Callithrix jacchus: one gene and its partners. The protein of the gene in region 1 interacts with the protein of each later gene in a pairwise test. Links are inferred from orthologs where the notes say so. Each region holds a gene or a part of one and is shown on either strand. Other genes may lie near its edges.

The links.
Region 2: the proteins of GOLGA2 (region 1) and NDN interact in a two-hybrid assay, tested with the Homo sapiens proteins (2 studies listed by BioGRID and IntAct). The link is inferred for Callithrix jacchus from reciprocal best matches to the Homo sapiens genes GOLGA2 and NDN.
Region 3: the proteins of GOLGA2 (region 1) and C19H1orf35 interact in binary tests that used the Homo sapiens proteins (3 or more experiments, as listed by UniProt). The two-hybrid records come from large-scale screens. The link is inferred for Callithrix jacchus from reciprocal best matches to the Homo sapiens genes GOLGA2 and C1orf35.
Region 4: the proteins of GOLGA2 (region 1) and RAB39A interact in binary tests that used the Homo sapiens proteins (3 or more experiments, as listed by UniProt). The two-hybrid records come from large-scale screens. The link is inferred for Callithrix jacchus from reciprocal best matches to the Homo sapiens genes GOLGA2 and RAB39A.

The regions. Positions count from the first base shown.
Region 1 is NC_133502.1:176,882,440-176,887,363, forward strand, and holds the start of GOLGA2 (golgin subfamily A member 2), read right to left. Parts: upstream 3,069-4,924; 5' UTR 2,929-3,068; coding exon of another isoform or gene 2,880-2,928; intron 2,566-2,879; coding exon of another isoform or gene 2,475-2,565; intron 2,473-2,474; coding exon of another isoform or gene 2,292-2,472; exon of another isoform or gene 2,286-2,291; intron 2,239-2,285; 5' UTR 2,155-2,238; coding exon 2,071-2,154; intron 449-2,070; coding exon 326-448; intron 1-325. UniProt on the Homo sapiens protein: Peripheral membrane component of the cis-Golgi stack that acts as a membrane skeleton that maintains the structure of the Golgi apparatus, and as a vesicle thether that facilitates vesicle fusion to the Golgi membrane.
Region 2 is NC_133507.1:5,529,761-5,534,071, reverse strand, and holds NDN (necdin), read right to left. Parts: upstream 2,919-4,311; 5' UTR 2,831-2,918; coding exon 1,865-2,830; 3' UTR 1,019-1,864; downstream 1-1,018. UniProt on the Homo sapiens protein: Growth suppressor that facilitates the entry of the cell into cell cycle arrest.
Region 3 is NC_133520.1:38,924,623-38,929,628, forward strand, and holds C19H1orf35 (multiple myeloma tumor-associated protein 2), read right to left. Parts: upstream 3,319-5,006; 5' UTR 3,229-3,318; coding exon 3,135-3,228; intron 3,058-3,134; coding exon 2,907-3,057; intron 2,698-2,906; coding exon 2,652-2,697; intron 2,571-2,651; coding exon 2,488-2,570; intron 2,389-2,487; coding exon 2,316-2,388; intron 2,165-2,315; coding exon 2,079-2,164; intron 1,534-2,078; coding exon 1,405-1,533; intron 1,326-1,404; coding exon 1,214-1,325; 3' UTR 813-1,213; downstream 1-812.
Region 4 is NC_133511.1:7,730,126-7,735,127, reverse strand, and holds the start of RAB39A (ras-related protein Rab-39A), read right to left. Parts: upstream 3,319-5,002; 5' UTR 3,164-3,318; coding exon 2,937-3,163; intron 1-2,936. UniProt on the Homo sapiens protein: The small GTPases Rab are key regulators of intracellular membrane trafficking, from the formation of transport vesicles to their fusion with membranes.

The sequences.
Region 1 (4,924 bases):
AGGAAAATGAAACAGCAACTACCATTTCCTGGGTGTCCTAAGTGTTTACAGGCCCTGTACTAGGGATTAACATAAACACAACAACAATAACAAATCTCATTTAAACTTCGCAAGTGTAAATAAAACAATACTTTACAGGTATGAAAAGAGAGGCCCAAAAAGCTCCAACAATTTGCACCAAAATCATATCCCTAGCAGATGGACAGGTACGATACAAACCCAGAACTCTTAACCAGTACCGGACAGTTCTTCCACAATCATAACAATTACCCTCTACTGCCCCTTGGGCCCCCTGTCCCCAGGAGCCTGGTCAGCCAAGACTCACATCCTCTGATGAGTGGCAATCACCAGAATTGGTTGTCTCAGGGCTACTGCCATTTTTAATTTTCTTCTTCTTTTTTGCTCCTGCAGGAACACCAGGGCTATTCCTCTGCTGATATTCTCTTAGCTGTGGAAAAGAAGAGCAGTAATACTCATGAGAACTACACGCCCCTACAGTTACATCCTACCTTACAATTTTTCCAAAATAGTCTTATAGACCATCTGATTTAATGCCACCAACAACTGTACAAGGTCTTATCACAATCACTTAGTGAATGAGAGGGACTGATACCATGGCTTAAAAAAAGGCAATAATTGAACTTAAACTCAGTCTTCTGACTCTGAGCTCGGGGGTTTTGCCACAGATCAGCAGCTACCAGGGGCCAAATCCAGAGGCAGAGGTAGAAAAGCAAAAATTAAGTAGGCAAGAACTATACACTGTGTGGTTTAGAATCATACATCCTCACATGTTTGTTAGGGTAAGAAATGCACGAATACCTCTCAAACTTTTACATCAATGTATCTTCATGGCAGAAGACAGCCTTTCTGTTAAATCTAGGAATTTAACAGAAAGAGGACAACCCAAGCCAAGTCTGGTGTATTCTCACACATTTATGTGACTGTCATCCCTAAGTACATTAATGTTTTTCTCTCTCACGAGAATCAAGGGAAACTGATGCTTCAGAAAGAAAGATACATATTTATCCATGGCACTCCAAGTACCCCAGGATGAGATGATATGAGAAAGATTCATGCTGCCAAGTTCAATTTCCCAAGACCTGTTCCAAAGAAGATAAGCAGATCTCATTCCAAAGACCACTGATTAAAGGGCACTCTGGTCCCAGAACCATGGAGAATTCGAATATGAGGTAGAGAGATCAGAAAAAAATGTTAAAGTCTCTCTGGAGAGTAGAAGCCTGGGAGAAAACCAAACCAAACCCATTCTCACATTGCCAACCAGAGATACTGCCAACGTTTTGAACTCACAGGGGAAGTGCAGGCTTTTCACACTGTCAACGTTTGTGTTAAGGGAGTAAGGCAGCCTGAAACCTCTCCCTCCTAGGTCCCATAGCCCCCATTCCCCTTCCAGCTGGAAATTTATGCTGTGACCAGAGGAACCAGAAACGGGATGAGAACACTTATGGGGCTGGGTCCTAAGATCAAAGGCTGGTCTAGAGCACTAATTACGGTTCCGAGAGGGGTTGTGACGTCACTACATTCCACTCTTCCCGGGGGTGGGGGGGACATCGACGCGACGTCCGAGTCGCCGCTCTGTGATGGGGGAGGGGAGCACAGGGCCAGGACCCAGGTCCTTGGAGACTCGAGCCCAAAGAGCCCAGGGAGAGCCGGTGTGGGGCTGCAGGAGGTGAGGGCCGAGTCTGGAGAGGGGAGCTCCTGGAGTCTCGGGCCCAAAGTCACTGGCTGAGCTGGTGGGGACCGAGGTCCTTGGAAACACCAGCCCAAAGAGCCCAGGGAAGTTGGACCTGGGGCGGCAGGAGGTGAGGGCCGAGTCTGGAGCGGGGAGCCCCGGGAGTCACCAGCCCAAAGTCACCCGGGGGCGACTGGCGAGGGCGGGGGCTGGGCGGTTGAGGGGGCGGGGCTGGCTGACAAGACTTTGGTGGGGGCAGCCCAGAGGCGCCGGGGGGCCCAGCCCGGTGTGCCTCAGGAGTGGCAGGGACTCTGGCCGCGGTCATGCCATAGGAGGGGGGCTGGGGCTGGGTCGGGGGGCCGCGACCCGGCGCGGTTTACCTTTTTCTTCGCTGCGGCCAATTTGCTCTGTCGGGTTTCTTCCGACATCGCGGGGCGGGGAGGGAGGCGGGGTTGGGGCCACATCAGCGCAATCCCGGCAACCACTGCGCAAGTCAGTCAGCCACCGCGCAGCTGTGCGACGGAGCCAGAGGAGGCGTAACCAGGGCGCTATTAGAGGGCAGATTAGGGGCGTGGCCTCAACGATCCAAGCCCATTGGCCAATGAGAAAGATGAAGCGGAAAGGAGGCGTGGCCAGGCGGCGGCGTGGCCAGAGGGACCTGTGGCGTCACAACAAAAGCTGCGCACGCAACTGCTGTCCCCGCCCATCCCAGGAGAGGAGCGGGGCAGGTTGCCGTTGGGTGCGCGCGCACCTTTCTGTGCGACCGTTCGAGCTCGCGGTCAGAACCTGAGAGGCCGTTCTCCGACTCCCGCCCTGGACCCTCTTGCGCCACTCAACCCCCTGATCCGGGGGCCTCGGACCCCTGGGCTCAGGAGGTGGGCGAGAAGTGGACTCCACAGTTTCTTTCCTGACTCCTCACAGCCCTGCCCCAGACTTTGCCTTTCCAGAAACCACTTCCAAAGACTCCCATCCAGTGCTCCAGACAACCCCCCTCTCGGAACTTCCCCTTCCTAGAGAGTCTCTACCCTGATCCTGGGAGCGTATGTGTCCCCTTTTCAGTTCCGGGCGCTCCTACTTCCCAGCCCCTCCTACTTCCCAGACGCTTCTCCTCCCGCATCCCCACGGTATCCCTGTCCTATCAGAGCGGACTGTGGGTTCAATCAGGCTTTCCCCTCGGATTCCTCTGCAGGACTGAATCAGGACTTACCCGAAGTTGCCGCGGGGCCTTCCGATCCCCTGTGAGTATGTCTTACGCACACCCACCTTCCCATCCCCGACACTCCCTCCGTATGAATCCTTGCCGCTCCCAGCCATCCTCCCCATCCCAACAGCAGCTGTTCCCCACTTGGCCCTCTTCCATGTCGTCTCCCAGCCGACTGAGAACCTCCAGGTCTTTTCTCAATCCCTCCCCTTCCTTTCCTCCCGCCTGCCAGTCTTCAAAGAAGTGCTATCCTGTCCTGTCCTAGTCTTAACTCTTCTCCCTCCCCTTCCTGTCTCCTGCCACCTCAGATGCCTTTCACTCCAGTCAAGCACCAGCCATCTCTCCTGCTTGCTGGTTTCACCCCTCACCCAGCCGCGCCTTTAAACAAACCCACAGCTCCCCAGTCAGGAAAATGCCTGGTGTTCACCTTGGCCACTCCTTTAGTTGCTAATAGTCTCTCCTCTTCTCTGGCAAGTCACCCCCAAAACGCAGCCTCTTCCTCCTCTCGTCCCCCAGTTGGAGTTGCCACTACCACTACCACCACCACCACTCTCAAGTTAGATCATGAGGACCAGGAGAGGTGGCTAACATCTGTAATCCCAGCACTTTGAGAGGCTGAGGCGGGTGGATTATATAAGGTCAGGAGTTCAAGACCAGCCTGGCCAATTTGGTGAAACCCTATCTCTACTAAAAATAAAAAAAATCAGCCGAGGGTGGTGGTGCATGCCTGTCATCCGAGCTACTCAGGAGGCTGAGGCAGGAGAATCATTTCATCCAGGGAGGTGGAAGTTGTAGTAAGCCGAGATTGCCCCACTGCACTCCAGCCTGGGCAACAGAGCTAGACTACGTCTCAAAAAAAAAAAAAGAAGAAGTTAGATCAGGAAAGACTTTGTATTTGTTTGTTTATTGATTTAGCAACTGCGCAATACAGGTGTGTGCCAGAGAGCCCCCTGTCCTCCAGGAGCCACAGGCAAAAAAACAGTTCCAGAACAAGTATGCACATGGGTTCTGAGAGGGGGAGCCCAGGGTTGGACTTGCAAAGAGGGCTCTCCAGAGATGGCAGGGTCAGAGGCAAGGTCTGAAGGGCAAGTCACAGTGAGCCCAGATGATGATGACAAGGTGGCAACCACAGTTTGCCAAAAGCATTTGGCTGATTGAACTCTCTGCAAGTGAGTTGGTTTCCACTGTTTTTGACCATGGGGTAACTAACTACAGATCATGCCTTTCTCATTCATGCTAATTTATTCCTTCCCTTTTTTTCTTTTTTTTTTTTTTTTTTTAAGACAGAGTTTCACTCTGTCACCCAGGCTGGCTTGCAGTGGTGCAATCTGGGCTCACTGTAACCTCTGCCTCCCAAGCCCAACCCATCCTCCCACCCCAGCCTACCGAATAGCTGGGACCACAGGCAAGTGCCATGATGCCTGGCTAACTTTTTGTATTTTGAGTAGAGACAGATTTTCACCATGTTGCCCAGGCTTGTCTCAAACTCATAAGCTCAAAGCAACCCGCCTGCCTCTGCCTCCCAAAGTGCTGGGATTACAGGCAGGAGCCACCATGCCCAACTTCCATTCCTTCCATTTTTAAAAACAAGGCTCTGCCAGGCATGGTGGCTCCTGCCTATAATCCCAGCACTTTGGGAGGCCAAGCCGAGTGGATCAGCTGAGGTCAGGAGTTCGAGACCAGCCCGGCCAACATGTTCAAATGACATCTCTACTAAAAATACAAAAATTAGCCAGGTGTGGTGGCAGGCACCTGTAATCCCACCTACTTGGGAGGCTGAGGCAGGAGAATCACTTGAACCCAGGGGGGCAGAGGTTGCAGTGAGCAGAGGTTGCACTGCATTCCAGCCTGGGTGACACAGCAAGACTTTGTCTCAAAAAAAAAAAAAAAAAAGAAAAACAGGCTCTATTGAGCACTGTCCCCATCAGCTTACTTTACATGCATCATCTTTCCAGTTCCTTCTAGCAACCTTTGAGGCAAGATGGTTTACTGTCCCCATGTTGAGATGAGGCCCATGAGTTCCAGAGAGATGA
Region 2 (4,311 bases), on another chromosome or scaffold:
TTAAGTGTTGGGAATTCCAGCTCCCAATAAAAATTGTAATTCCTTTTCCCTAATAAGACTCCCAGTTTACTTCTTTCCGGTGTTACGTGATGCGTGTCCTCTTTATTACCCATCTTCCCCAGAAAACTTTCTGGCTTTGGACTCTTTTGTAGTTTAAAGGACTTCCAGTCTTATTAAAGGCCCTTTTCTCCCTGCTACCCCTTGCAGGACTGAAAATTCACAATGATATTTTTCTTTGGGCATTGCCCCTGGAGCCCACCTGAAGCCCATCCCATCCTCTGAGGATTACCTGATTACCTCGCAAATCAAGGGCTGCCAGGTCACAGATATCCTGATGGGCAACCCCACCCCCCTCTCCCAGGTGTCTTGTGTGTTTGTCAGAGAAAGCACCTTCACCTCCAACCCTCAGGAAACACTGTTTCAAATCCAGGCTTCACTGCTAAACAAGAATGAATATCACTTTCTTATGTTAATTAATCTCTCCACAAAATATTTTTTTGGCTGGAAATTCCAAAAACAAGATGAAAATTTCTTAATTTACACAATCAGAATAATCTTGCTTTCTCCAAAATATTGTGAGAACTAGAAAAATAAAATTCCTAGCCTCTCTCTCTGTGTGGCCCATGAATGCATGTGAGTGTGGGAGGTGGGAGCTGGGAGTGTGGGCTCCCACGTAAAATGTAAAAATAAGTTTGAAAATAAATAACCTAAAAGCCACAGGGTGTATGAGGGATTGTAGGCAGGTGGGGACAAATGTGGGCTCTGGATTCATTCTGAGTTGAAGTGCCAGCTCCTTCTCTTGCTAACCTTTACAAGCTATGGAAAGTTAATTACCTACATTATTCCTGTTTCCTCCATGGTGCAAAGGCAGTAGATGCCTTCCTCACAGGCCTGTTGTGAGGGTTAAATAAAAGGGGAAAAATACATGTTAGGGCTGAGTACAATGTCTCACTCTTTAAGTGCCCACAAGACATCCATTAATTTTGATAAAATATAGAAACTTAAGGGAAGGAAGTTATTTTTAGTTTTTATTCTCATATGATGTGATGATGGACAATCATACTGCTTTGTTTTTATACTTTATATTTGTGCATGTTTTTGAAATAAACAATTACATTTAAAGACAATAAAACTATAACCTTCACAAATTTAGGAGTAATCACGAGTAGCGATTTTTCCCACCCTATTAGGGGAAACAGTTACATCTGTACACATTGTAAAATAGAGAATTGTCTCATTCCCAATCATAGTGCTCTGTTAAAATGATAAGAGTACACTTTTCCAAAAATGATTGTATCACAAGAATCTTTAATGTTTACTTTAAAGTTGACTCACGGTAGGGTTGTATATGTGTTTAGTAAATTGTGCCAAGTGCTCACATTGAGACCAGTCCAGTTCAAATCAGTTTACTCCACGAGAATGTCTTCTGTGCCCAGCAAGGTCACGAAGAGCCTTGACTTTTCTCTTGGTTAGGCCAGCTTTGCTGGTGAGTTCTTCCAAACTCTGCAGGAGCAGTCTACCCCAACACACATCACCAGTCCCATATAAAATAATAAGATGCAAACTTTCTCAAGGTACTTCGTCAGTTTAGCATGTCTCAGGTACAAAAATCCAAGAAAGGTAGCACAAAAGCGAAAGCACCAACCAAGCTTACATATAAACAAACATGCATACATCCTAAATACTACACAAGAGTACCCAAATGAATACAACATTGCATTAAAGGTATAAAAGCACTGTACTGAAAACTTAAAAGTTACACGTGAATACTGCACTGTAAATCCCGAACACTCTAATGACCCACCCCCACCCTTCCACAGCCCCGGTGAGGGTCAGAAAGCATTTCATCTGCCTCCAGACCTTGCTAGTCCTCGGAGACACTGTTGCGGGGGCAGTGAGCAGCGGGATTAGCCTCCCGCAGAGCTCTGGCCTCCTCCAGGGCTTCTCTGTATCGGGAGGGCCAGGCCTGGGGGTCTTTCTTAAAGACCCTGGCCAGGAACTCCATGATTTGCATCTTGGTGATTTCACGGCTGGCCCGGGAGCCCCAGAAGAACTCATACTCTGGCGGCTCCACGTACGGGACGCGCTGGTACTTCAGGTAATTCTGTTGGACGAACTCCTCGGTGATGAGCTTTCGCACGTCCCCGAAGGTGGAGTGCTTCTTCCAGGGCCGCAGCCCCAGGATGCGCAGCACGTTCCAGACGGCGCTCTCTCTGGCGCCGCGGCCCTTCACGTAGATGAGGCTCAGGATCATGAGCAGGAGGCCCGTCATGGGCATGCGGTTGCTCAGCGCCACCCTGTCCAGCTCCTCCGGCTCCAGCGCTTTGACCAGCGCAAACTCCATGGTGTGCAGGCTGGTCAGCCTCAGGTGCAGCCCGAACACCCGGGCGAGGATGAGGCTGGTGCGCCGCAGGATGCTCCTGCACCACTTCTTGTAGCTGCCGATGACATCTTTCACCATGTCTGGAAACCAGATGATCATCTTCTTCTGGTCCTTGACCAGCACGTACCACATGAGCTCGTGCGCCTTCTGCACCAGCTGCGCCGGGGCGGGCGGCGCCGGGCCGGGCTGGGCCGCGCTCGGGGCCTGGTGGGCGCGGCCCTCCTCTGCGGCCTCCAGCAAAGCCTTCGGGTCGACCTCCTCGATCGGGGCCTGGGGCGGCTGCGCGGCCTGCGGGGCGGCCGTCGGGCCTAGGGGAGGGCTCTGCGGCTCCGCCAGGGTCGCGGACGGAGGAACCCCCCCCGGAACCCCAGGGCTGCTCTGCGCCTCGGAGCTGGGTGCCTCGGCGGCAAAGCTAGGGTCGCTCAGATCCTTACTCTGCTCTGACATGTCTGCGCCGTCTGGCAAGGGCAGGGCCTCTGCGTCCAGGAGCTCTTCGAGCCTGCGCTCCCTCCGCGGACTCCTGGAGAGGAAGTGCGCGTTGCTGCGCGCGGCGCCTTCCGCAGCGGCGGGCAGGGCGGGGCGGCGGCGGGACGCGGCACTGCGCCTGCGCGACCGCGGCCAGGGCGGGCGGGCGGCCGGGGGCGGGCGGGGCCGCGAGGGGCCCCGACGGGGAGGGTCCGCGGTGAGGCGTCACCTGGCGGGACAGCGATCCCGGGGTTTCCTGTTCCGGCCGAGGAAGTTCAGGGTAGGAGAGGAGGGAGATGGATGCCTGTGGAGAAGGAGCAGGTTTTGGGGAAAGATGATAACTCAGGTTTTGGGGATGCTGGGGTCGACTTTCCTGGGAAATGCTCGCCTGGGTATATCCAGAATCCAGTTAAGTATGAGAGCCCCAGAGGAAGGTCTGGGAGGCTGTGCAAACTGGAGCTTTATGTGAACGAGTGAGAGGAACGGTCGGGCTGTCCGAGAAGACGTGTAAACTGTGAGGCGGATGTCCGAGGTTGGAATCCTGAGAAATTCCAATAAAAAGTTGATTGACTCCCTCCCTACCACATCAGAGGGGTTATAAGGAAAGGAGAAATGCGGTTATAAGGAAAGGAGAAATGCAGCGTGTCGTTAACGTGATTTCCTACCCGCGTGAGCCGTGAACTTGTTCAGGAGGCAGTGGGCTTAGACCATCATTGATGCTTTCATGGGCATAGGTTTGGCTTTTACACTTACTTTGAGTCACTTTGATTCCATTTTCTTTTATTTTTCCATGCTTAGTCCATAACAGAAGGATTGCCATATCTATTAGCACAAACTTGTATGATAATGCATTTTTCCCTCTGCCCAGCACCTCATTCTCCGATTCACCTTCTCCCAGGACCTTCTCTGAAGCTACTGAGTCCTCAGTGTTGGGAGTCACACCCAAATCATTCCTTCCTGAGATCTCCAAAAAGATATAGGTCCCATGGGCAATATCTGGCGGTGTCTCAGATGACCAAAAGGTAGCGGGGGCAACATATGGATAGCCCTGTTTTCCAGTTATAGAAAACAGATTCCCAGTGGGCCAAGGCAAAGCTGTCACTCCTAGAGGCTGTCCGTGGAAAAAGGGGCATTGCTGGAGCCTCCACAACCAGGGGCCTCCATGCTGCTTCAGCATCCTTGGTCTGCGTTGATGTGGTCCTTCAGCCCTTGCCGGGTTCCCTCTCATCAGCAGCTTCTTAAATATGTTGTCTCGAGTCTAGTTATTGCCACTTGAAGCCCAAAGCATGTTTTAAAATTGTCTTGACATGTCTAGAGTCCTCACTATGAGTATCTATCTTTTCTCATTTGTCACTTTAATTTTCCTCAAGCAGGTTGGTGTTGAAGGGTTTTCTGTGCTTTCTCTGGTTGGGTTGGCATGCATGTGACACTTTTGACAGGGCCATTCCCACGCCAGTCCCTCC
Region 3 (5,006 bases), on another chromosome or scaffold:
ACAGGAGTCAGCAGGCACTATATAAGACCTCAGCCTCCCTCCCTCCCATCAGCCTGCTGGCTGTGGGGCTGGGCCACTGCCAGCATACATGGTGCTTTGTGCCAGCCGGGGAATGGTCCCTGCCTGAGTGGGCACAGCCCCCACCTCTCCTCAAAATGTCATGAAGCAGAGGGCTGCCAGTCTGGGGGTACTTCTATGGGGTGTAGCCATCAGCAGGTCCAAGGTCTGTGTTCTGTTGGGCAGAGTCCCAAAAGGTGAGGATGTCCTGGCCAGGTGGCCCGACCTTCATCCCCCTTGACAGTGCCCAAGACAGATAGTGCCATCTCCACTCCAGTGGCTATGTGAGGGCAAGGGCAGAGGTCAAAGCCACAGGAGCCACACCTTGGCCAGGGCCCTAAGGAAGTTTTCTGAGACTGCAGTGAGCCGTGATCCAGTCCAGGTGCCCACACATGTCCTGAACAGCCCTGACTCTTCTCAGGGTCAGGCAAACGGGACACCTAGCCCACTGCCCTAGAAGAAGCAGAGCTGAGGGTTGAGGCAGCTGGGTCTTGGCAGGCAGGTAGAGTCCCCAAACCTCACTCAACTGAGGTTACCCCTCCAGACTCTGCAGTCCTTGACCTCACCTGTCCCAGGTCCCCACATTGCCAGCTGAGCACCCCTTTCCAGGGCCTCAGCCCTCCCTGGGTATGGGTAGGGTTTTGGGCACCCATGGGAGGACTGCATTCTTGGACGTTAACGAAGCATTAGGGCGCAGCTCCATCCTGGGATCTCGTTAACTCCTGATACTGACCTTCCAATTAGGATGATACACCTTTCTTTTAAAATATATTTATTGAAATATAGAGTCAACGTAAGGAAAAATAGAGATCACCGTATTTGGCCACAGGTAGATTGCTCATAGGCCCATGGCTGCTACAGCCATGAGCAGGACACGGGGAGTCCAGCCTCTACGGGTACCTGTGGGCAGGCTCACCTTCGCAGGGCAAGCCAGGGGCCATCCCTGCTGTGCGAAACCTGGAGGTCTTCCAGGAAGCTGGCTGCTCCAGAGCTAGCTGTGCAGCCTTTACCCCACAGGCTGGTGCCCAGAGCCACTCCACAGGAGCAGCCTCAGGTCTCACCCACACAAGGGGCTTTCCTGAGGCAGGAGGCAAGCAAGGTGAAGGGAGAGTTCCAGTTCCCACAGTAGCAGTGAGCAGGGTCCAACCATCAGACTTCAGAGTCTGTCATGCCGCCTGCAAGATGGGCTCCTGTCCCCACTGTGTCCCCGCTTCCTCCTCTTGCAGCAGGGGAAGTCGGAGTCACAGTCATGGTGGCAGTGCCTGGGCCTGGGAAGACCAAGGGCAGTCACTCATAGAGGTGGGGGTCAACCAAACCCCTACCCCCAAGACATGGGCCAGGGCATACTTCTCGGGAGATGTGGGAGAGGTGGCGGCCTCAGCTGGTCGCCTGTCTCTGTCTTTCTTTTTCTCTTTTTTGTGTTTCTTCTTTTTCTTTTTCTTCTTCTCCTTCTTGCTTTTCCTGTGGCTTTCAGAGCTGGGAGGGTACAAAATGCGCCTCAGAGAGTGAGCACAGGCAGGTCCCATCCAGGAGATGAAGCCACCACCCACAAATGCATCTTTAAATCAGTTAAATGAGATTACAGATTTCGCTCCTCAGTCACGCAGTCACATGGCCACTGAGACAGATGCAATATCCCTATCTCGACTGCATGGCCCTGTTCCACTTGAGCTGTGCCCTTGCAAGGTGACACCTTCCTCGTACCTGCACCCACAGGCCACTCCTGGGGTTACAGCCCAGGCTCATTACCCAGGAAAATCCCTCGAGGTGCCACCCACGCAGAAAAAGGCTCCTGCCCAGGTCATGAGTGCCCTCCTACAGCACAGCCCCCAACCACTGCCATTACTTAGGACCTCCCTTCAAGGGTGACCCGAGAAACTCCGCTGGGGAAAAACCTAGGAGTAAGAGACAGGAAGGAAAGTAGGGCAGGCCACCGCCAAGGCCGGTGCGCAAAGAGAAGCTGCCACCTGCCTGCCTAGGAGCCGCTCCAGTCCTCCCGAGATCCCCCGGGGCGGCCTCACCTGCTTTCAGTCTGAACCTCCGCCCGTGGCTTCCTCCTGGCCGAGGCTGCTGAAGTCCCGGGCCCGCCGCTCTCCACGCGGTGGTGCTGCAGATGAAGCGCGCTCTGGGGAGAAGTGTGCGGGCCGGCCCCACACCACGCCCCGCAGCGCCCCAGGGAGCTCCGTGCCATGCCGTGCCCTGCCCGTCCCACCCCTGTGGGCCCCGATGCGATCAGGCGAGGGGTGGGGGGTGGTTACCGTGAACACAGACAGCCCCAGTTTGGCGGCCTCCTTGTCCTCTCGCGACAGCGCCACGCGGCCTGCGGAGCCACTGCAGTAACACAGCGATCAGGACAGTCCGGCAGGGGCCCGCCTCACCCGAGTAACCGAGCCCACACAGACCCTCCCTCCCCACGAAACCGGCCCACACCTGGTGCTCCCCAGCCCCAGCAGCCGGTCCACGCCCTTCTCCTCGGGGTCGCCTCCTTCCCGCTTGCAGACCTCCGCAAAGTCCTGCAGGTGGGGGAGCAAAGGGAGCTCTCGGGACGGCCCCACACCCACGGCCCTCCACGCGCCCCCACCCCGGGGAGTTACCTCCTTGCTCAGGCCCGTGGGCTGCTTCTTCACGTTCTTGTAGCCACTGAGAGGAAATCGAGGCAGGCGTCAGGGGAGTGAATCTCTTCCCAGCACGCGTCCTCACCACTCCAGCCTTCGTCCTGAGGGCCCCGCCCGAGCGAGTCCCCGCAACTCCGCCCCCGCCCAGCCGGGCCCCCAGCCTTCACCCCCGGCCCCAACCAGCCTCCGCCGCGCGGTCCCAAGCCCCGCCCGCTGCTGCCCGCCGACACTCACAGCGCGGCCAGCAGCGCCTCGCGCTCCGCCTCCCGCACGGCTGCCAGCTCCTCCTCGCGGCTCGGGCCCGCGCACGGCGCCCGGCCCTTGGCGTACCAGGTGAGGTCGCGGCCCTTCTGCCAGCGGCCTACGGGCGCCATCAGCGAGTTGCCTGCGGACGTAGGCGCCGTGAGTCCAGCGCCCGCCAGGGAGCCCGGAGCCCGGAGCCCGCCCGCCGCGCCCACCCACCCAGGTAGTTCTCCCGCTGCTTGTCAGTCTTCACGTCCTCCCAGTTGAACTGATCCTGACCGCCGCGCACGCCTCCGCGACTGGAGCCGAACATGGTGCTGGGGCGACCGTGGCCTGCGGCCGGCGACCTGAGACCCCGGACCCGCTACCCTCTACCGTCGGACCCTGGGCCGACCCCGCCTCCGCGTTGCGCGCCGTAACGTCACTCTTGAGCCCGCTCAGCTTCGTCCCGTGCGCCTGCGCAGCGCACTGTCCCGGCTCAGCGCTCTGGGCCCCGGCGGAATGCACCGCCCTCGCGCGCCTGCGCACTGCTGCACCGGCCCTGCCCGGCGGGGGAACGACTTTGAACTGGACGTTTAAAAAGGATTGAAATGGGCCGGGCGCGGTGGCTCAAGCCTGTAATCCCAGCACTTTGAGAGGCCGAGGGGGGCGGATCGCTTGAGGTCGGGAGTTCCAGACCAGTTTGGCTAACATCGTTAAATCCCGTCTCTACTAAAAACACAAAAATTATCTGGGCGTGGTGGTCCACACCTGTAATCCCAGCTACTCAGGAGGCTGAGGCAGGAGAATTGCTTGAACCCGGGAGGTGGAGGTTGCAGTGAGCCGAGATCGCGCCAGTGCACTCCAGCCTGGGCGACAGAGGGAGACTCTGTCTCCAATAATTGGAAAAAAAAAAAGGTTAAAATGGGCAGGACAGGAGCGCGCTTAGTCCCAACGGGACTACGGGAGGATCACTTGAGCCCATGAGATCCCTGTCTCGTTTAAAAAAAAAAAAAAAAAAAAAAGAAAGAAAGAAAACTCCTAAGACAGGCCTAGCTAACACCATCAACTGGTTGGTCACCGCCGGCCGCGATTCCGTATGGGGCGCCTAACAAGGGAATGCCCTTAATGATTTGTGCAGTTTCTGAGAATTACCCAGTGAACTTGTGGATGAAAAAGCAGCTGCCCAGGCGCCCTCAGAGCTGGTCCTGTCCCCGCTGCGGTAACTGAATGTGCACATGTGAAATCCTCACCCCAAGGCGCTGGTGTTTCAGAGGTGACTAGGTCAAGAGGGCAGAGCCTTCTTAAAGGGACTCCAAGGGCTTGTGCAGCTTTCCACTGCGTGAAGGCGGCGGGAAGGTGTGGATGGGAGACCCCGCAAGGGCCAAGGCAAGGAAGGCTCTGAAGCCTCAGCCTGTTCCCATATAAATATTGAACTAGAAAAGAATTAGCGATATAGTCACAGTTATTCCTATAATCATAATCACATATGCATATGTAATCATATATATATATACTCAATATAACCTTTTAATTTTGCTGATGATTCTCGGGCCATGAAGCATGGAACTGAAGTAACATTGTGAAAGAGGTGACCCTAGAGCAAGGTGCTCTAAGCCCTCTGTCACACCTGCTTAAGGGCTGCTGGAAGGCACCTCGGCTGTGCGGCAGCGCCAGCATTAGCGCTGGGAAAGCGCCCGCTGTTTAGCCAGCTAGGGAAGGAGACGTCTGACATGTCTCCTCCCTTGGAGGACTTAGGAGAAAACTCTGCTCCCCGCAAGCTCTTGCGGTAGGCCTGGTGGCTGTCAGGGAGGCCTGCAGACATTCAGGGGCTTAACCGTCTCTATGCTGTGCTGTGCCTCAGCGGTGACGTTCCATGGCTACCTTCATGTTCCGCTTCTGCACCTGGTTCCTCTTCTTGGATTAGAATGAGTAAAAGTAACATAAATTTTAATGTCTTTGTTCTTTCTCGACAAGTATGAAGAAGTGCTGATGCATTAGGTTTTCTCCTCGCCTCCTCCACTTTAAGGACCTGGGCCCCGATCTCCAAGACACGTGATTTACCTGACCCTATCACTGACCGCCACTGCCTCACCCTACCTACCCGGCCCT
Region 4 (5,002 bases), on another chromosome or scaffold:
CTACTTTCTTGAGGAAAGATACAGAATGATTTAACAGTAATTGTTTTACATGTCATTTTATGGTGAACCATTCTGGTAAATGAGAGAAAAGCAATTATTTGGAGGTAGCTACTGAAATATGTATGTATTTACAAATATAACTTTGGTAAAGAGCCAAACAAAATAAAGTATGACTCATTGTCAGTAAACATTCCCTCAAAGTCCTTGCATTATAACGCGAGAGTTACTGTTTGGTTTTAATAATGTATATAAAATGAATGACTATTTACATTCTTCTTCAAGGCATTAAAAACAATCAGCCAGGTAACAGAAAGGTCTTTAAAGTTTAATACATTAATTATCCTTTATTTTCTTGTAAGTATGTTGAGCTACTTTTAAGAAAATAATTAAATACAATAAAATTTTATTAACCATGTTTCTTTTTTTTTTTTGAGATGGAGTTTCGCTCTTGTTACCCAGGCTGGAGTGCAATGGCACGATCTTGGCTCACTGCAACCTCTGCCTCCTGGGTTCAAGCAATTCTCCTGCCTCAGCCTCCCGAGTAGCTGGGACTACAGGCGGGCACCGCCATGCCCAGCTAATTTTTGTATTTTTAGTAGAGACGGGGTTTCACCATGTTGACCAGGATGGTCTCCATCTCTTGACGTCGTGATCCACCCGCCTCAGCCTCCCAAAGTACTGGGATTTATAGGCGTGAGCCACCGCACCTGGCCTAACCATGTTTCTTATAGTTGCAACTCAAAGTAGCTGTTAGAAGTTTAAGACATAAAGATTTTTATCGTACTCACTTTAGAGAGTGGGTCAAGACCTATTGGCAAATGCTTTTCTTCTGACCCTCAAGTATCTTAAAATTTACCTTTTGTAAATTTTAAAATTTACAAAAATTTTGTAAAAGATCTCATGTGAAGGAATTTGCAATTAACATTAGAATGGTAAAACCGGAAGGAATGTTAGAGATCATAATGACTCTCATTTTACAGATAAGAAATCCAAAATTTGGCAGGGCGTGGTAGTTCATGCCTATAATCCCAGCACTTTGGGAGGCCAAAGTGGGTGGATCACCTCAGGTCAGGAGTTCAAAACCACCTTGACCAACAAGTGAAACGCTGACTCTGAAAAAAAAAAGAAAAAAAGAAATCAAAAGTTTGAAAAATTATTTTAATTATAGGAGGCTTCTTGGCTAGGTGTGATGGCTCATGCCTGTAATCCCAGCACTTTGGGAGGTTGAGGTGGGCAGATTGCCTGGGGCTCAGGAGTTCGAGACCAGCCTGGACAACAGCGGTGAAACCCTGTCTCTACTAAAATACAAAGAATTAGTTGGGTGTGGTGGCGTGTACCTGTAATCCCAGCTACTTGGGAGGCTGAGGCAGGAGAATTGCTTGAACCGGGGAGGCAGAGGTTAAGCCATGGCACTCCAGCCTGGGCGCCAGAGCGAGACTCCATCACCAAATAATAACGATAAATAAATAAATAAAAATAAAGGAAGCTTCTTGAAAAGTAAAAACATTTTTCAGGGAATCCTAAATGTTGTACAAATCCAATCGATAATCTTTTAACACCTCTCTGAAGGGCTGGCCTTACCCTCTTTCCACTTCACACACAGGAAAACTAAGGTATAAGCCAGCTAAGCAGTTCACTCATTATCTCTATGAATCAGCATCATTGCTGGGAACGGAAGCCAAAACTTTGAATGTTGGACCATTCTCACAGATGTAGGCTGATCTCATTGGCAGTGATGCTGGCTGGGGGAGAGGGGAAGCCATGTTTGGGAAGTCCCCTCATGGAACACTGCATTTCACAAGCAGAGTACTTGCTGACTAACGCAAAATGCTTCCCTAAATGAGTTCCAATGGATAATGCAGTCTTTAAGAAACAGAACAGTGCAATGTATCATTTTCACCATCTTCCTCTCAAACCAAGTGCCTTTGAATCGTAGACATTTAAAATGTGCCTTAAACCTGCTTCATCTCAAATACTCAGGAAATGCATATAATTTTATTTACTTTTTATTTATACCAGTCGTCTTTGTGAAACCCTTCATGTCCCCAGTGAATATTTAGGAGGAGTCTATTAATTTGGATCCCTCCTTCTCTCTTTATAAATATTATCACCCTGGAACATTAAGTATTGATCATAAATAAGCAAAATAAAAGTTCCTGGCAAATCTCAATATATCTCTTTTTCCCACCAAACATGACAAACTTCTAAAGACAACTCAACCCTTCACACACACACACACACACACACACACACACCCTCAGCTGTGCCGGCGTCCCTGATGTTGTATCTAGTTTACCTACAAGACCCATTCCCACGGGTCATGACCCATTATTTCTGATGACCACATTGAGTGCTGTGAGGTGCCCAAACCATTACCGCATCCGCCTCCCTGTGAACCATGCCCAGTGAGCTCATGCGGGAACCTGGGTTGGAGCGCTCCTCGCTGTGCAGCTAAAGGATCCATCACGAATCTGGGAACCCTCCCTCGCGGTTCTCCCGGGCCACACAGCGTGGGAGCCGCTGGGTTAGGGCAGGAAAAGGGGCGCCTGCTTGGTGGTGGGGTCAGGCTGTGCGCAGCCAGGGAAGCCGAGTTTGGGGAGAAGGCAGCGGGGGAGCCGAAGGGGACCAAAATACCCACAGGGGCCGAAAGAGTTGGGGAAGAGGGGGCTGCGAGGACGACCCCGGTTCAGGCGGGAAAGGAAAGACGGAAAGGGGGCGCAGGAAATGGGCGCCAAAGAAAGAAGTGAGAAATTGCGGAGGAGGAAGTCGTCCCTGGAAGAGGAGGGGCAAAGGGGAAGCGAGAATGGAGTGTTTGCACTTTGGAGAGGGAAGGGCCAGAGCCACTCCCGACCAGGCCGGCGGGGCGAGCGCCTGGGAAGGGGCGTCCCGGTGGGCCGAGAGGGCGGCGCGGTGCCCGCGGTCCCCGGGGTCCCTACCTGAACCGCTCCTGTCCCGCCGTGTCCCAGAGCTGCAGCTTGATCCTCTTGCCCGGCTCGATCTCCAGCAGGCGGGAGAAGAAGTCCACGCCGACGGTGGGGTCGCAGGCGGGGGAGCGCAGCCCGGGGAAGCGGCCCTGGGTGAAGCGGTGAAGGAGGCAGGACTTGCCCACGGTGGAGTCCCCGATCACGATGAGGCGGAACTGGTAGATCCAGATGGTCTCCATCGCTCACGTGCCCCGCTGGCTCCCGGGCCGCCCCACCCGCGGGGTAAGTTCGGCGGCGGGAACTGTCCCTTCAGCACCTCGCGGGAGCCCGCCCGCCGCCTTCCAGCATATTCCTGCGGCTGCGGCTGCGGCCGCCGCCTGGTGCCCGCCCTCTCGGGAGAGAGAGGCGGGGCCCGGCCCAGCTAGGGGCGGGGCCTCGGGACGGGGGCGGGGCGGGGGCGCGTGGGAGGGGGAAGTAGGCTTTTCTGCCGCGAACCCCCGCCCCTGACCGACTGCAAATCACTATCGCTCAACGCTCACTGGTCGCCGGCCGGAAAGTGGGCGTGGCCAGAAGACGTGACACCAGCAACAACCAAGGAAAATGAAGCAAGGTCTGAACTCCCGGAGGGTCAGCCAATGAAAAGTGAGAGTCATTTTCTTATAGGCGTCAGGGCGGGCTCGTCAGATTAGGGCTTTGCTTTTGGAAGTCCCTGAGGCCATAACTTGGGTCATTGCTTTGCTTCCTCCCACTTTTGTTTTTTCTTTTCTTTTTTTCTTTTTGAGGCTGGGTATCGTTCTATCCTCCAGGCTGGAGTGCAGTGGTGCGATCTCGGCTCACTGTAGCCTCAAGCGATCTGCACACCTCAGCCTCCCAAGTAGCTGGGACCACAGGTGTGCGCCACCACACCTGGCTAATTTTTTTCTGGGTTTTTAATGTGTTATTTTAGAGACTTGGTCTCACTATGTTGCTTAGGCTGGTCTTGAACTCATGGGCACAAGCGATCCACCCACTTCAGCCACCTGAGTAGCTGGGACTACAGGCGGGGAACAGCACACCAGGCTAATTTTTTCATTTTTTTGTAGAGATGGGGTTCAGCCTGGTCTTGAACTCCTGACCTCAAGCGCTCCTCCAGGCTCGGCCTCCCAGTGCTAGGATTACAGGCGTGAGCCACCGTACCCTGCTTTCTAGTCTTGATGAGAGCCACCTCCAAGGGGTTTTAAGGTGATGGAGTTTTGGGCAAGACTGAAATACATTTGCAGAACTAGTTCTCGGTGCTTCCAGGAAGGGCTCTGGCTGTTGCTGCATGCTCCCACTGTCTGTTCTTCACCTCTGTGAGTACCACAGAAGACTCAGAAACGCCAACTATCATCACCATACCCTCTCCCTCCAACCCCAGGGACAATCGGAAAAAAAAAAAAAAGGCAGGGAAAATGTTGAGATGCTGATGAAAGTTTCATCTCTCTTTGGTCTCCATATTTTAAGACAGAAAAAAGTGAACAGGTGGTCTCTTAGCTCATGTCTGATCAATGATGTAAGTAAACAAAGCAGAATTTAGGCCGGGCGCGGTGGCTCACACCTGTAATCCCAGCACTCTGGGAGGCCGAGGCGGGTGGATCACGAGGTCAAGAGATCGAGACCATCCTGGTCAACATGGTGAAACCCCGTCTCTACTAAAAATACAAAAAATTAGCGGGGCACGGTGGCGCGTGCCTGTAATCCCAGCTACTCGGGAGGCTGAGGCAGGAGAATTGCCTGAACCCAGGAGGCGGAGGTTGCGGTGAGCCGAGATCACGCCATTGCACTCCAGCCTGGGTAACAAGAGCAAAACTCCGTCTCAAAAAACAACAACAACAACAACAACAAAAAACAAAGCAGAATTTAAATTCTGGCGAGATCTTACTACTTTCTTGTGCCTTTCCTCAAACTGAGTAATAATGATGTCAAGGTTTATCTTAAAAAAAAAAATTTTTTTTTTTTTTTTTTTTTTTTTTTTAAAGATGGGGTTTCACCATGATGGCCAGGCTGGTCTTGAACTACTGACCTTAGGTGATCCACCCACCTCGGCCTCCCAAAGTGCT